Linked DNA regions of Astyanax mexicanus. The protein of the gene in region 1 purifies or fractionates together with the protein of each later gene. This does not show direct contact. Links are inferred from orthologs where the notes say so. Each region holds a gene or a part of one and is shown on either strand. Other genes may lie near its edges. The genes, in order: nop58 and nufip1.

Region 1 (9,216 bases):
TCCCAAAATGATCAATAACATTTATTGCAATTATAACCATGTTGTGATAACGCCCTCGTCGACGTATAGTATTTACCAATCTTGCGGACAGTCTTGCAGTAGGCCAGATTGTCTGTGATGATTTTTCCGAGTTCGGGGAAGTGCCAGCCGTACCACTCACGACAGCGCATGATGTAGTTATTCAGCTCTTTGTCCAGATCATCCAGTAAAGCTGGAGATGAAAGAAATGATTGACAATAAGGATTAAAAGATCAGAATAAATTTACAGTTTCAACACTTTCAAATCTTCACAAGCTCAGACGAGGTAGTGACTTAGACACCTTCACAGAAATGTCAGGGTCTTGACACAAGGTCAGGAATCATCACCGCTTGCAAATGTATAAACAGATCTAATGAACTAAACTATACACTAGACAGTGTTTAAAAAAAAAAAGAAGCAAATTAGAGAAAACACAGAAACAAACAGTTTAGCGCTACTTTCAATTACAAGTAAAAGTTACACAGAAAGTAAGCCAGCTCTAAACAGCTTTGTATACAAGTGGTAAACTCCATACTAAGCATGGTAAAAGCTGTGCATTGTTATTTTTTTATAGTATTGACAATATGCATTAATACACATCAAGAATATCAGTGCTTACAGAATGTACAGAATACTGCACATTTTATTATAGAGAAATGTTTAGTTCAATTTTAATTGAATGAGCAGAATGAGAGTGTAGCTGATTTTGGGTTAAAAAAACTGCCACTGCTGATGCATTTTGTCGGCGGAAAAAAAAAGTATACATCATGAAAATGCCTTTAAATATCATGATATACATTTTAGTTTTTACCATATTGACAAGCTTTTTTAGAGCATGATTACAAACACCAGGACAGAGGCTTTTTTCCCCTGTTCACATCCATATCAGAATATTATTGTATCAAACTGATCATATTTTGTATTGTATTGTTTCTCTTCACTTTTGTAGACAAACAGCAAAAGTACACATTTTTAATCTAATATTTTTCATTTCTAAATATTCAGTGCATCCCTTAAAAAAAAAGTAAAGAGAATGAGAAACTTACATATGGCCTGAACAATCATGGTATCCACTTTGTCTGGACTGAACTTCAGCTTGTATCGGGAAAGGCTAGAAAAATGAAACATTATGGGGGAACATTATAAATCAACACAACCTAGAGCACATGCACTGTATTTGCCAGTTCACTGTCTCATTGGTAGTGACGAATAGTGATGAATATCCTCAGAGAAGTCAGTTATGCACATAATCATTGACAGTTTTGTCATTGACATTTTGTAAAAATGTTTCAGCCTTTATCTGGTTGTGTATGTGCTTTTTTTCCTTTACCTGTGAGCCAGACCAAGAGACATGGCACTGATTTCTCTGGGAGGAAGACCAGTGATGAGGCCCTCCATCTGATTCCTGATGCCCCTCATGAGCTCAGCTACAGCTGGACTGTGTACACAGCTCAGGTTCAGCTTTTCCTAAAGAGGGCGGCAGAGAGCAAATGTTCAGGCACAGTCTGCACAGAAGCAAGTTTTCTCCACTGTCCTTTTTGTGAAACAGGATAGTCAATGATAATTATTTTTAAAAGGTCAAATTGTGATTGTATTTAGACCACTTTAGTCACCAACAGCTTTTACAGCTTCTGTAAAAGATGCTAAACATTTAATGAGCCCTTACTTTGATAACTCCTCCCAGTTTAGCATCTGTAATCGCCAGCTGCTCATGAGCATCTTTGGCCACAACTTTTTTCAACACCTTCTTCAAACTTTTTCCAAGCTTCCCTTCTACCAAAGCAGTGGCCGCTGAAGTCATAGAAGGAAAGAGAGAAAATCGTTAAATGAAACAAGCAACAACATGAACTAATTCTACTAAACATAATTTTGCATGATTTTGCATCATTAGATACACAAGTTCAGGAATACTGTTTAGATCTTTATAGTAGAATTAACCATGACTGATATGTATGAAAGGCTGTTGTCTCAGTGGTAGTGACGAATTACTGATTTTTGTCCTCATACTATAGTCAGATCAACAGAAACATCATTGACAACAGTTTTAATATAAACAGCTCATCTCCCTCTCATTTCTCTCATTTAAACGTGCAATATAATTTTAGGACATTGCATTGATATTGTACTGTACCTGCCAGAGCTTCAGTTGTGTCTTGAAACTTCTCAAAATATTTTAACTTCACTCTGTAACAAGAAAGTTTACAAGAAACCCAAAATGAAACAACCACCAATGAATCAATAAACGTATATGTCCTGTCGACTTAACATATATTACCACCCTATAAAAGGTCGGCGATATGGTAATATTTCAGGGCACTTTTGTAATAATATTATTGGCGATATGAAAAAAATAAACACACGGACCAATATTTTATTCATTTTAAGAATATAACATTGCAACAAAATAAATGTTTAGTTTACTGAGCATAGCTTTCAAACATATGGTAGAAACAAAACCTGAAAATATTTGTTTCTATTTTGTAAATAGTAACTTACAAATAAAATAAAGAAACAATAAAATTAACATTAATTTGTAGTTTAGCAAAAAAAAAATCTACCAACATCTAAACTGTACGAATATAAAATGCACACAATTATGCATAAAATGCCCTTAAAAGCTTTTACGACTTTGTTTATTTATATTGTGAACAATAACATAGGCAGCGACCCTAAAGAACACTTTGACCTGTCACTTTCTAAAGCATTAGCAATAAGGCTTACACAGGTATACTTGTTTAACAGACCTAGATAATGTATATATTCCTGCACCTGGATGTCAATTCAATTTTTTCTTTCCATTTTGCCTGTTTTAACATTTCCTGCAATTATTTTAATTCTAGTTTGTTGCAGTTTTTCTTGACATTTATTTCCATTAAGCATCCGGAGTATAAAGGTAGAAATTGCGGGAACCATTAAAAAGCTGAGGAAATTGTTACTCATACCTTTTATTATTACTATTTTTTTTTACATTTATGTCTTTGCTGCTGTAAACCACGGTCTCCTCTGTGACTAAAAAGTGATGCATTACTCGGTCCATCTAAAAGAGTGCATAAATCTACACGACTATTCTGGATCGAGCACTTTGGGAAGGAACAACTTACACTTTGTTGGCTTTTTCCGGCGTTTCGAACTCCTTCCACAGGTTGTCCACCTGCTGAAGCTTCTGCTCATCGAGGACCTGCATGAAAAAGAATATTTATTTAAAAAAAGACAGACACGACTTGATTTACCACACCAAACATCAATTTTAAAAATACTCAAATCCTGCCTATTCCACACTGACTGCACGCTTGCAGACCCTCACACTTCACTACACGTGGCCACCCAGTGGGCTAACTAACCCACATGGTGTCTTTTAGCCGTATTTAAGAAACGTTATTTAAATTTACCGTGAGTATGCTTACTTTAATTGCATTTATACGTGCATAAAACACGTAGTTAAAAACACAGCATATTCTCTTTCGACAAATAGATAACTATAGCGTTAATACAGCTGGCTAACTCGGCTAGCTTAGCAGAAATTTCACAACGTGGGTGCAAAGCAGGCCCGTCCCTACAAGCCACTGCGCTGAGATATTTAGCATAGCTAACGCTGCTATAGCTAACAACCCGGCTATTGACAATGCGTTAGAACTACTGTATGCGTATGCACACTTATTGCCGCAAATTTAACCAGACTTACACTTTAAAAACAACCTAAACTGAAGTTCTTGGCCCGCCAAGTCATCTATCCACAGAGGAACTTCAACTAGCGAGAAAAGCTACGCTGCTAACAGGCTGAAAACGACAGTTCGCGAGGAGAAAGCTCACTGTGCTTATTGCACATTATTTAAGTAAAGTACACTTACCTTAAAGATGGCATAGCCTGCCGCAGTCTCAAACAACACCAACATCTTTATCTAACTGTCTGTTTGGTTAATATAAGAGGAATTAACGCGCTCCCGGCTGAGAGCAGCTCCACAGCACGGCTAACCGCAAGAACTTCTGCTCACCACGCGGTGCACGCGGGCAACTCCCGCGCATGCGCAGTAGGTCTGATAGGCGGTCTTTAAGCAGAGGTGGACGATACCCTGACTATGGCGACTCTTCACACTGTTATGCTGTTCAAACACTCAATACAGGACAGAAAGATTCAAGAAAGATTCAAAAAAGACTTTAAACAGACTAAAGTCTGACACTCTCTAACATCTAAAGACAAGTCACAGACTGTTTACACACAGGCTAAGATTTTGCTAAGTCTGGGGATCACTATTTGCAAGACTTCAACTAGATTATTTCTGAGATTTTTTCCCATCATGCTTCTGGTGAAGTTTACATACAATACATTTTACATATTAAGTTACAAATAATGTGTATATCAATACTGTGATTTATCAGAGAACGTTTGTCCCCATCAACAGTTTATTTTTCAGCCACACTGTAAGTTATTGATTTTATTTTTGTTGAATTCAACTCTGGCTATAAGCTTCTCCACCCCCCCTCCGTTTTTGCTACAACCTTGTATATCAAAAAGAATCACAGTTTTACTGCTATATATTTGCATTTGTTTTGGATAAAATTAATGCAATAAAGAACATCATTCTTGCAAAATGTATATTTATTAAACTTGTTTGTATCAAAAATCACACTGCAATAAGACAAAGTAGTGCAAAATAAAATAAAATATATTACATTAATTCTGTTAAAATGCATGAAGTCCAGCTGTTGCTAAAATATCTCTATAATATTCATGCATTTGCACTGAATTTATTTTGCAATCTCTTTCGCTATCCTGTGTGTATAAAAATATTTTTAAATAAAACCTGTGCACTTTCTCAGTGTCTCAATTTAAATGTCAGGGTCCTCAAACTTATACCAATGAAGCTACTTGTTAATGGTGAGATTTCTTTGCTTGGGCAATGCTATGCCCCTATCACTAGCATTAGAAGCATGTTGGGAGCATTGGCAAAAAGGCCTGTAAATCAGAATGCTTGGGGTAAATGAAGATGGGCTATTGCACAACAGTTTGTACTTGTTATCATGTTTAACTACACCCCAAGTCCATTTCACACTGTAGTTCACCTGTAAAGAGCCACTCAACCCTAAACCATATTTTTTCCATTAATCATTGAAATGTGTTTTTTTTTAAGTAATAAAACAAACCAGTCTTGCTTAAATTTTTTCTTAACATTTCCTAAACTTTAAAAAACACTTTTATTGTGGTAATTTCCGCCTCTGCAGCACCCTCTCATGTCCAACTGTTCTATAGGCGAGGATGATGTGTCCCCTACTGTCGTCCAACCGCTATCAGAGGCACACTGCTGCTGCAGCTTAGCCAATCAGCTCTCCCTTCGGTCCCACTTCTAAACCCATACATCACCGAGTGACACACCCAAACGACCCCTTCCAAATTTTACCTTTTTTTAAATTTGAGTAAGGGTGGTGTCAGCAAAAATCAGGGAGTTTAGTGCTCATTTAAAGCTTTAAGTTAAAATAAACTTATTATTACTAGATGCTGTGACTCTTCTCTGCAAGTTGATTTACTACACAATACATGTTGTTTCAACCAAGCAACCTAGCAAGTTTACAACCCTGATAAAAAATCCAGAGAAAGACCAGCTGGTCAACATGAAAGAACATACCCTACACTGGGTAGGATAGCATAGGGTATGTTTCTCTGGATAACAACCTGGATTTTAGCAGGAAATACAGATAAAGTATTTACATGATTTGTATTCACATCTTCCAGTTATTGGCTCTAACTTTGTTAATTAAGTTAAATCAGGGGTGGACAATCCTGGTCCTGGGTTTTATGGTTTGCCTGATTAAGCACACCTGATTCAACTGATATGTTAATTGCTAGATTCAGTAGCTCTGTTACACCAGAACTATCATCAAACTGTGTTGGACTCCACCCCTTCCTTTCCACTAGATTAAGAAAAACCATATAAATATAAATACCATATATTGAAACCATATAAAACATTGAACAGGGAGTTTTTATACATAAAACTCATCTGTATAGAAAATGGTTACATGCTCTTACAGCCATCAACACTGAGAACAGGCAATCAACCATTGTATAAAATATAACAGAATAGATGAGTAAAGGTAGTCTGAACAACAGAAAAACAACTACACACTGACAGTAAGAGAGGATTGGGAAGTGTTGCACACACAAACTGATTTATGGACTATAATTGAAATCTCAAAACTTAATTTGATGAGTTAATGTAAACAAACAAAAAAAGTTATCTTAACATATTTCTCAAATATTTATAATGGTGCACCATTTTTTCCTCAATGTCAAATTGTTAGGCCATATTTATGAGCAATTCTTACTACAAAATCCTGTTCTGAATAAAGTGTTTTATTTGTGTGGACTCAGCAAGTTCAAACAAATCCTGGAGAAAGGAAGTGTGTGAGAGCACTAAACTGTGCTAGAGACAGTGGTGGACTCAAATGTTTAGACTGCCAGTCCAAATCCTTTTCTTGCTATATCCAGATTGTATTCAAATGGATTTTAGATAGTCTGGACAAAAAACAACTATGAATCTATTATCTTCAAATTATGACATACATCTCTTAATAATGAGATATTATTTATCTAAAACAACGCCTGTTTTATCACACATTTGCAGACTTCCCAAGTCTTCCAAAAGTTGCAGGAGTCTACTGCATGCTAATAACTGCTCCCTGATGCCCACAAGTCTCCCGGGCAATGGAAGTATTGCCCGCTGTACAGTATGTAATAGTGATTTTCGCATTGCACACGAGGGACTAAATGTATAAATGTATATATTGGTGTGCAAGTTATGTTTTTTTGGGGGGAGGCAGGAAGTCAAGGTGCGGGGAACCTCCCTGAAACTATTGCAACTTGGGATGTCTGCATATGTAATATGTATTCAGAAAATCAAAATATTGTTTTGAAACAGAACAAGATCACCATGAACAATTCAGCACGTTTGAAATTCAACCAATTTTTTTTTTTAATAAAAGCCAATTTTATATAAGGCACAGTTTGTGATAACGGTTTTTAATAATGACATGTGGCAGATTATTATTATTATTATTATTATTATTATTATTACTATTATTGTATATTTTATTTGCTCATATTTTAATTATACTCTGCAGCATTACGTTTCCGTATATGTAAACTATGAAATTTTAAAATAAGATGCTCTTTAATTGTAGGTGCATTTTAAAACCTGAACACGCCTCCTTTACTCACACTGGCCGGGGTTTTGTCATCGTTCCCGCCCCTTGTTCCAGTGAGGTCAGCGCTGCTGTGTGTGTGTGAGAGGGAGAGTCTACGAGAGAGAAACATAACCTACATTACAGCCACACTCACCTACATTTCTCACTAAATCACTGTGGGAGAGGGTTAGGCGCTGAGGAGCAGCATGTCGGACACGGTGGGTTCTGGAGGAATGTCTCACAGACTGTGTGGAGCTGAGCGAGCAGCAGCAGGCTGACAGAAACAGCGCTTAAATATGAAAATACGAGGCCCGTTTACTAACGATAACAAGCTACAGCAACCTTTTAGCTCGCTAATTAGCTCATGTTTTACTGATATCTGGGGCAGATTTCTGGTGGTGAGCCTTGTGTTTCCCTTGTTTGGGATTTGTATTTTGGAGAGTTCACTTTACTGAAGCTGTAGCGAGTTAAATGTTGTGTTTAGACTCGGGTTAGTGAGGCTCGTTAGGTGCTAGCTTCAGTATAAAGCCTGAGAGCTACGTTAGATGGCTGGTGGGCCCAGGAGTATTAGCTAGCATAGCTAACGCTAGCTGAGCTAACAGCTAGCTTATCTAAGTTTACAGACTATCTGCCGGTCTGTCCGGTAAACTGTCAGTTTTGAGTTATTCTTTTGTTATAATAGTGGTTTAATTATCCTGCTGCGTTACAGCATTAATGTAAACCAGTGCACACTGCTGAAATTAGCTTAGCTAGCTAACGTTATCAGGTGTTGAAATGTTTCACACAAACCAATACAGTGGAATCCGTTAGCAAACAGCTAGTTAGCTGAGTTAGTTAGCCTACCTAGCTAGTTTTTTACTAGCGTGGGAGTCTTATTCACATCTTTACCAGTGTTTACTGGTAATGTACCAGTGTTTCCTCAGTTAATAGCGTATTCCTTTACATATGTAACATAGTGTAATGTCATATCTTTCTGTATTCAGGAGACTAAGCCCTCAGGAGATGGAGAGAAGAAGGACGGAGAATATATTAAACTGAAAGTGATTGGTCAGGTAAGAGGGGAAACTTCAGATTTGATTGTTGAAGCTGGCTTATTGTTTTTAGGCATGGGCAATACTTTAATATTTTATTATATCAGATCGTGATAAACTGTAGTTTTCTTCACTCTAACTAGAGGGTGGGTAAAAAAATCTCGATATTCTCGATATTTTTAGTTCTTGCATAGGCTTCTGGAAAAAAAAACTAAAGTTTCTGAAGCAGTTTCTCTGATTTTGTATTTGTAGGTATATGTTTGAATAAAATGAACATTGTTTTATTTTATAAACTATGGATAACATTTCAGAAAGTGAGAAATGGCTGAAATACCAAAAAGATGCAGAGCTTTCAAAAATCAAATAATACAAAGAAAAGTTCATATTTATAAAGTTCAGAAATCAATTATTGGTGGAATAACCCTGCTTTGTAATCAGTTTTCACGCATCTTAGCATGTTCTCTTCCACCAGTCTTACACACTGTTTTTGGATAACATTATGCCACTCCTGGTGCAAAAATTCAAGCAGTTCAGCTTGGTTTGATTGGTTGTGATCATCCGTCTTCCTCTTGATTATATTCCAGAGGTTTTTAATTTGGTAAAATTAAAGAAACTCATCATTTTTAAGTGGTCTCTTTTTTTCCCAGAGCTGTAAGTCCTTAGTATTTTTAATTTGTAGATGTTTGAAAATAATTAAAACACCAGTTATATCTATCATTTTATTTATGCATTTATTAACCAAATTAAGAGGTTCTTTATAGGGTTCTTGACAGAAACTTAAGCCTAATTACTATTTATTGAGAGATTTCTTTTGGCACATAGAGATTGCTATGTAAAAATTTGCAGTCTGCGTATCTCATTTTAAAAATCGCTTTAAAACAGTAATTTGATTTATCAAATTAAATTGATTAACCAAACTGTACATTTATCTGTTTTTTTCTATTGTTTTAATGTACGCAGTATTCATTAATATTTATTGTAGTGTTC
Region 2 (9,135 bases), about 18 Mb from region 1:
AGTCGACATTTAGTTAGAGAGAGGGTGACATCATCTCTCTATTTGCTCTCTCAGATTCAAGTCATGTCTTTTCTCTCAGTACCAGCCTTTCAGAAACTACTGTACTGCAACCTGAGCTTATCAACATTTGTATTGCTGACTAAAGTAATGGGACTACAGCTAAGGGCATACACTGTTCAGTGAGCACTGCAGCAGCATTGTGCTGGTATTTTGTTCACACACTGAGAGAGACTCACTTCCCACACACAGGTTAGGGTTTTTTATTTTATTTTATACATTAATACCCTTGCTTCAAATGGTGTGCTCACTAAAATTTTAACATGTTAGAAATGGCATTAATCGCTCACTCACTATCTGATTCTTCCTCGCTCTCGGTCATGTCTCCTCCATAGCTGGACATCAGTGATCCCAGAGCAGAAGTCATATTTTTGGGCGCCACAGAAATGGATGCTTTCGTCTCCTTCACAGGTTCTTCTTTTTCAGAATCTAAAAAAAGAAAAGAAAAAAGGACACCAAAAGAACAAGTCATTTTAGAATGACTAAGGATGATGCTTTTGGGAAGAAGTGTCTCGAGAGCTAACCTGGGTCACTGTTGGCCAGAACTCCAAGAGGATCTCCATCTGGGTGAGGACGTACAGGAGCTGGTGGCTGCTGCTGCTGCTGCTGCTGCTGCGCATTTGCTGGTTGTACATGTTGCTGGCCACTATATGCACCTCGGCTCTGATTCTGGACGTGTCCACCACGACTTTTAAAATTACTGAAGCGATAAATAAAAACATGTATAGTTATAAGCAGGTCACTTTTTATCAGCTAACGCGAAAACTGCCATGTGGCTCCATCTGCCTAATGGTATTTACTAGCGTCATTCCCAAAGTACACTGCCATGCCAAGACGTCATAGGACAGAAACTAAGAGTACCATACCCCAAGACTTTCCCCATGTTCCACACAAGTTAATGAGCATTGCACTCCCAGTTTGCATGTGACCCTCGTGACCCCAGTGTTCTACTTCACTTACAAGATAACACCTCACAACTTATACAGCTTTAGGTATTCACAGGCTGCCTCTACCTGACAGGTAGAATATTATAACTAAGGTGCACCAGATTATAAGCTACACTGATGATATTTGGGAAAATAAAAGGATTTTAAATGCGCCTTATAGTCCGGAAAATACGGAACTGTTATCCCATGACTTTTGGCATGTGAGTGTAAATACCACATAGTTAATTGACAGGTAATTACCCAAACTGGGCAGTCTCCAGCACATCTCCCCTTTGTGCTTTAACCTCCATGGCCTTAATTTTCCTCTCCACGTTGCTCAGGGTTGGGTAGTTTCTGTAAGGTAGGACATATTACGGTGTGGTGAATCATTACTGCAGGTTGACAACATTTACCTCCACAATTAAATAAAAGTAGTAAGAGTAATTTCGGAAAAAAGGGAGGGAATGATCATACTTTCTCCTTTCCTCTCTCCATTTTGCAATCTCCTCTGCAGTGTCCAATTTGATTCGCTTTGCTCCAGGAGCATGGTTCTGAAATACAACACACAACAATGACAGGGTATTTAAATCACATAAACTCTGCCAATTCAGCCAAAACATTAACACCATCTCCTAGTTTCTCCTTGTTCAAAGTCTTTCAAGCATAGACTTCATAGTTCTATAATTACAGACTGTAGTTCTGTATCTGTTTCCCTCTATACTTTATTATTCTCCTGCTTTCACCCTGTTTTTTAATACTGAGAAACCCACAGCAGAGAAAAAAAACACTGAGCAGCTATTAATAATAATAATAATAATAATAATAATAATTTTACTATTTGGGTGGTGGGTCATTATTCTCAGACATTAGTCTGGATATTCAGGTGAGAAAATGCCTTTTGTGCCACCCGTGCCGCTATAATGAACCCTCTTTATTTATTGCAGTTTTCATTTGTAATTATATCTGTAGGTACAAACAAGACTGAATAAGAGCACTTACATTTCTCCAATGGATTTGGACGAGCTTCTCATGCGCAGTAAATGTGCAATCCTCAACTGAGCACTGAAAACAGAACATAATAATACATCACATTTTGTGGTTCTACTTTAAAAAAAACAATCTATTCTTGAAATTGGAAAAAATAAAAATGGGCAGTTCATGTAAATGTAATTTACAGAGAATATGTAGGCCTGTCACAATGCCACAATGGAAATGCCAGTGCTATAGATAATAGCAAAATAAATTTACTTTACTATTTACTTTGAATTACTAAGAATATTCAAACTATTTACCTTACCTTCACATGCTGGGCAATGTGCTCATCATACTTGGTTTTGTTTTTAAAGCCTCGATCACAAGTGTCACAGAAGTGACTGAACTCTGGTTCTTTCTGCTTTTTCTGCTGAAATAAATAAAACACAGTGTGTTTACTAGCTTGTACTTGTTATTTATTCACAGCATGCTCACAAATAGATAGAGAAATGACACAGAAACATGATTTTACATGATCAGATGTACAGGAAAAAGATTTCTTACCTTTTTACCCCACTGGTTTTGGCCGTGGCCTTGCCGTCCATATCGATTATTATTATGATGCGGACCTGTAAAGATTTTAACAGAACTGTTAAAGGTCTGAAAGGCCACACACCGACTGAGCTGATAAAACATTAGCTGGTAACACATACACACATAAAAAGCTTGTTTAAAGTTTAAAGTTAGGGAAAGGATATGATCATTTTTAAGCATCTTGGATTTTGATTAAAAATATTTTGTTATTTAAAATGTACTGTAATAATGATCTAAAACATAGTTACTTGAAAATATGCTGTTTCCTGAAGTTTCTACAGCCAATTAAATTCATTGATGACTAGGAGTGTGAACCACAGGGCAACAAGGGAGTCTATATGTTTTAATAAAAGATATTTGATGCCATGTATTGATACAATACTAATGAAACAATGCAATATACTGCAATATTATATAATATATAATATTGTACCACTGCTAGTGATGACCCTATGTATTCACAAAAAGCCACTTATGCCATATGCTCTTTTATTACAGAGGTGGACTAATGTAATGTTAGGAGTCTAGCTCAAGTGCTTTTATGGGTGTATCACAGTATAGTCACCCAGAACAGGAATTAAACCCCAATCTCCAGCATGATATGGTAGCTCACTGGCAGATAGTGGTGTTATCCACTGCACCATACCATCCACTGTACTGTACTGTACTGTACTGTAGATAGCTATATTATATCAGGCCTGTGTGTTGTTGTGTTTTTCATGGTCTCTCACCTGGATATCGATGCTGCCCGTAGTTCTGATAGTACGGATGTTGGTACCCGCTGTAGGGAGCAGTGGGGTAGGGGGTCCAGGGATCTGCTGCTGCGGGAGCTGCTGGAGGAGCAGTCGGGCTCCAGCTCCAGTCTCTGGAAGCCTGGAACTTGTCTGGAGCTGCTCCTGATGCTGGTGCTGCTGGTTGTTGTTGGGGGCTCCAGTGGAAGGTCGGTGGTCTGAGGAGAGCTCCCTGAGCTGGAGAGCTGAAATCCGGGGGCGGGTAACTCCCAGACTCCGACATGACCACTGTCACCTTTTACACAAATAAATAAACCTCTCAAAACTCTCTAAACTCCTGTATAAACTCACCAGAACTCTCACATGGCTCTGCCTCTTCACGCTTTCCTACACACGTGCTACTCAAACCCGGCGTCACTTCCGGGTAAAATTATACACAACAGCCGCTCCGAACAGCAGAGGGCGCTGTAGCGCTAAAAACTGAGCACATGCTGTATATATGGGGAAAGTGCGCATGCGCATGTACGAAAATACGGTCAGTGTAACATTTATTAATTTAATTTCTAACCTTTTGAAGCTAAATGCAAAAATAGAACATTGGGTATAAAACTTCATTATTATTTTTTTCCATTTACTTTGGTGAGAAATAAACTGACTTGTTTTTCCGAGTTTTTCATTTCTGCTTTTTGCTAATAGAATTGAAAAAAAAAAAAATCTCTCAATTTTCTATTTTTTTTTAGTTTTCCCATTTTTGCAATAACTTTTGTTACAAGGTGAAAAAATCAGAAAATTAAGATAAGATTCATTTTTTTTTAAACTTTCCTGAAATTCTAATTGTGAGATGCAGAAATACAAATTATGAAAACCCATACAAAAATATGAAAACCCATTTCTTCTGTACTACACAAAATGGTTAAAATAAAAAAAATAAAAAGTTTTACTGTCAGTGTAACCTTTATTAGTTTAATTTTCTGACTGTTCAAGGCTAAAAGCAAAAATAGAAAATTGTATGTGAAAAACCCATTATTATTTTTTTTTTGTACAAGAAATAAGTTTTCATGCATTGTACAACATTGTAGCAACAATGCAAGAATTTAGGGATTGCTGGGCTTTAGGTCATTGTAAATGATTTGATTAAAAAAGAGACATTTAATGAACAGCCATGTACACATCAGACTAACAGTGAGCAGAGATAACATACAATGAGAGCACATTGTATTTATTTATGGTTTTATTAGTCTTTGGTAAATTCACAACAGTTTGTTTAACACTCTTGGACATGGATGACTCAGACTCAGTCAAGGACTTCCCATTTACTAACTATAGAATGTCATGATTTATGGCATTGTTTCAATACACAATATTGAGGTATTTGGCTGAATCTCAGAATTTATATCTTCTTATATTTCCTCTCACTTCAAATATGAAGCAGATAACAGTCCATTACTGTTCCCAGATAATTAGATTTCTTACAGTGTGTTTCACAAATGAACATTTCATATATATATTATAAAAAACAAAAGTTGATATAAAGATGACTGATGTTATGTAAAACTTTGTCCATTTATGCTGTTTTTATGGTGGATGTCATTTGTAACACAGCTGTTGTCCAGTTAAAAAAAACACAATGTCTGAATGTAAAATAAGTCTTTAGTACGTACAAAATGTTCAATCAATTTTAACTACAACTTGGTGGATAAAAAGCTTTTTGAGAAAGTGTTTTTTGCCGTTTCACTGTGAAGTGAGTGATGGGTCACAGTCAGTGGAGCTCCTTGATGCTTCTTTTCTGTGACCACTGGCCAGTAGCCTGCATTCTCTTCATACCACTTAACTGGAAGACAGGAGACACAAATTATACATTAGAACATATTAGAACCCCCCCCCCTCCCCTATGTTAACTAATAGAACAAGGCACAAGCCCTGTTACCCATTCTCAGATCAAATCAATAAAAAGGTAATGAGAATTTTCAGGCTTCTTACTTGTCCTTCTGATTCCCTCCTTCCATGGAACCTTAGGCTTCCAACCAAGTTTGTGCATCTTGTCTGAGATCATTGGGTATCTTAAGTCACTGACAGGTCTATAATATGAAAAACAACCTTATAAAAGCAAAAGTTATTATAATATAAAAAGAGAGAAACTTAAATACCACATATAGTGTTATGCAGCAGTTTGAGCACACCTGGTAAAATTACATGAAATTCTTTATTCTTTAAAAAAATCTATGTCTGTATATTTTAATACAGTTACTCTTTATTTGCTGAATGTAAACCCTTTGTTAAAAAAAGGTTTACCATTGTTTAAAGTAACAGTTCTTAAGTGTTTGGTGAAAATGTGTAACTGCAGTACTTTGTTGTATTTTATTGTGGTGCAATACAACTGCTCCACAGTTTGTATTACTTACAGGAAATGGAGCTTTAGAATAAATTAGAATAAATAAACAACAATAATAATGAATTAAAAAATCATATATTTTGTCAAGGAGTGCCCAAACCTGTAGGTTACCAGAGCTTTTCTTTTACACACCTGTCCTCAACAAACAGCAGCCAGTTATCCAGATCATCAGTAGATGCATTCTTCACCTTCAAAAAAAATTAAATAAATAAATAAAATTAAATAAATAAATAAATAAAAATCACTCCAAAGACATAGACATTTTAAATGAGATGAATAACATTTAATCTGTGACTAAAACCTATATATTTCTCTATTTTCTATGAATTTACATGACGGTCTACTTTAGTTTCAAACTTTTAAATATTTTTATGCTACCAATATAAATTTAAATATAAATAAATTTGTACTCCTGGAATCCTTGATGGTGTATCCATTTCTTTAGCATAGTGATTTTCTGGTCCTATCTTGTTACTCCAATATTGCATTTTTGTTTAAGTTTCTGCAGTACATTATATGATATATTTTACATGTTTCAAAAATAAAAGCTGACAATGGAACCTACCAACTGTACAAGCTCTCTAGCCAGGTGGATGATGGGAATCTCAAAGTTGGCACCGATGTTGTAAATCTCTCCCAGGACGCCTTGTTCCATCAGGATGAGAAGAGCATCCGTGACATCATCAACGTGAAGAAAGTGACGGGACTGAAGGCCTGTTCCCTGAATAGTGCTATAAAGAGAGAACAGGATTTGATTACAAACAAAAAACGCAACATAAATGGTGTAAAGTTTGTTAAAAGCTAAATATGCTTACCACTTTTGGTCCTGTTGTAGAAGTAACAAAAATTTTGGAATAACCTGAAGAATAAGCAGGGAAAAAACGTTTATATCACCACTTAATAAAATGGTGGTGTGGAAGAATGATAGAACTACCTGCATACCTTTTCATGATACTGTCTTGGTCCGTACACATTACTGCTCCTGGTTATTAAAATGGGAAACTAAAATGCAAAATTACAAAATGAGGAATATTATCAAATTGAAAATAAAAGGAAACAATAAATCACCAATAATTCAAAATCATAATTTTATTACCTTGTGCTTTTCCCAGTATGATAACACAATGTTTTCAGCAACAGCTTTTGATGCTGAATATGGATTGGTTGGCTTTTTTGGACTCAACTCATCAAATTCCTGTGAACATTACATGTTTGATAAATTCTAATTGTAACAGAAATTATTAAAAAAAACATTGAAATAATTTCCTAAACTTTTAAAAATAATTTTAAAATCAATATTATCCTGAGTACAAATCAAAAATGTAATGTTCTCCAAACCTTTTGTTTTTTTATGGTTCTCTAGTTTTTATGTCTATTTTAAAGCTTGCAGAATTTACAGTTGATAACTCAGAGAGTTATCAACTGTAGAGAGTGAACAGGGTGTCCAGGTGTTCTTTATGAGAGCCTTAACAGGAATAAATTGTACTGCAGAGTAAAAGGGGATTTGTATAACTACACCTAAAAGGTTAAACATCTAAAATGACACTGACCTTGTCCAGACTGTCTCCATAAACCTCATCAGTGCTCACGTATATAAACCTTTCCACTCCAGCTTCAAACGCTGCTCTGAGCACTACATGTGTACCTTCAGCGTTCACGTGCATGAACTGAGACGGATACAGGAAAGAGTTATCTGAGATAGAAAAGAAAAAAGAGAGGAGAGTAATCTGAACAACATTCGCCTGATTCACTGAACATCACTGATATATTACCTATAACAACCAGAAGGATTCATATCTAAATCAATAATTACTCACCAACATGAGACTGAGCAGCACAGTGAAACACAATGTCGATATTCTCAGTAGAAAACAGATGATTAATGAAGTATTGGTCACATATGTCTCCCTGTGAAGAAAGAGAGGCAAAATGAATCAGCATTAGGAAAAAAGGAAATATTATAATATTTTATAATCACTGCTTACTTAAAAACTCAACCCTCTCAGTAACGATAAGTATAAAATGGAGTTGGACAATATGGCCAATAAATAATATCATAATATTTTTTTTATAATAATCATAATAATTAAACCTTTGTCTATTCTGTCAACAACAGTACGTTACCAAGACTTTGTACAGATTTTGTATAAAATTATAATAATAATGTAACAAGATAAATAATGAATATAAACAACACAAAATATCATTAAAGCTTTAAAGTAAACAATAAAAATACAAAATACTTTCATTATCAATCTCAATATTACTGTGTCATGAAATATTGTGCTTGAAATGAAATTGCACACCCTAATTACAGAAATATTGCTTTTGATATTCACTGAGCAAATATTGTCTGGGGAAAATTATACATCACAAAATCACAAATGTGAATTACGCAGTATTGAGACTTGATTATCTGATTGTGGTATCTTAAATAAAGACAGAAAAACACGCATATCATGAGGGCCCCAAAATTGCCATGATGAAAAAGAAAAACACAAAAAAAGACACATTTATTTATTTTGGTTGGTATATATTTTTTTTATTATTGATATATAAACTACTGTTTATGATTTTGTCTCAGAGTGAAGAAGGAATATTATATAACAGTTCTCACATTAAATCTTACCTGAATGAATTTGTATGTACTTGTGTTCTTAAGACATTCGAGGTTCTTCAGGCTTGAGCAGTACTGCAACTAAAACAGATTATATACATTATATTATACACATTATTACAATATACACACAAATTATACACATTACTTACACTCAATTACACACAGACAGTATAATTAACAATTAAATAGACTTACTGAGTCAATATTTATTATCCTCCACAGTGGATATCTTGCAGCCAGGAGGATGATGAGGTGCGACCCTCTAATAGATCAAAAAATCATATCAAATATTAACATAGGTGTACAGGTGAGTGAACACGAGGGTCCAGAGTTAAGATATAGGTTAACTGATTAATAGATAATTCTCCTATACAGTACTATAACCTACAGTCTGTGTGAAGCAGAGAAAGAGCACTAGGATTTAGGAGGATTTACTTTTTGCAATTTCGAGAAAGCAAAACAATCAAGTAATGTAAAAAAATGTGGTTAAATATTTAATTCCATTAATAAATAAATTAATGAATAAATGAATTAAATCAGCACTTACATGAATCCAGCTCCTCCAGTCACAAGAACAGTCTTCCTACAGTCCAGCTCCAGCTTCTCCTCTCTCTCTGACATTGCTGCTTATTAATTTGAGGGAAAACTCTTGCAAATATTCACATTTTTATTAATTAAGAGCTATTTTTCTGCATTATTTAGCCCCAGCATGACAAATAATCTATGACAGCTCTCTAAGCTAACTTAGTTAAGATGGAACGCCAGTTATCTAGCTTCAAACCCTGTAAAACGCTGAGATATTAATGCCACAGCACAAGTAAGCATAATTACCTGTATAATACT

Evidence for each region.
Region 2: the proteins of nop58 (region 1) and nufip1 purify together in Homo sapiens (co-immunoprecipitation; 3 studies listed by BioGRID and IntAct, with this or other methods). This does not show direct contact. The link is inferred for Astyanax mexicanus from reciprocal best matches to the Homo sapiens genes NOP58 and NUFIP1.

The regions. Positions count from the first base shown.
Region 1 is NC_064412.1:37,930,475-37,939,690, forward strand, and holds the start of nop58 (nucleolar protein 58), read right to left. Parts: upstream 4,033-9,216; 5' UTR 3,913-4,032; coding exon 3,868-3,912; intron 3,198-3,867; coding exon 3,121-3,197; intron 2,204-3,120; coding exon 2,151-2,203; intron 2,066-2,150; exon of another isoform or gene 1,976-2,065; intron 1,811-1,975; coding exon 1,686-1,810; intron 1,487-1,685; coding exon 1,350-1,486; intron 1,131-1,349; coding exon 1,066-1,130; intron 375-1,065; exon of another isoform or gene 289-374; intron 212-288; coding exon 77-211; intron 1-76. Other genes in the region: sumo1 (small ubiquitin-related modifier 1), read left to right, coding at 7,405-7,416, 8,182-8,250. UniProt on the Homo sapiens protein: Required for the biogenesis of box C/D snoRNAs such as U3, U8 and U14 snoRNAs. Part of the small subunit (SSU) processome, first precursor of the small eukaryotic ribosomal subunit.
Region 2 is NC_064412.1:55,615,910-55,625,044, reverse strand, and holds the start of nufip1 (nuclear fragile X mental retardation-interacting protein 1), read right to left. Parts: upstream 3,710-9,135; 5' UTR 3,564-3,709; coding exon 3,281-3,563; intron 2,585-3,280; coding exon 2,520-2,584; intron 2,386-2,519; coding exon 2,281-2,385; intron 2,046-2,280; coding exon 1,983-2,045; intron 1,535-1,982; coding exon 1,458-1,534; intron 1,338-1,457; coding exon 1,245-1,337; intron 758-1,244; coding exon 582-757; intron 487-581; coding exon 352-486; intron 1-351. Other genes in the region: dTDP-D-glucose 4,6-dehydratase, read right to left, coding at 4,963-5,111, 5,261-5,358, 5,805-5,860, 6,238-6,403, 6,488-6,531, 6,615-6,674, 6,769-6,867, 7,223-7,365 and 4 more. UniProt on the Homo sapiens protein: Binds RNA.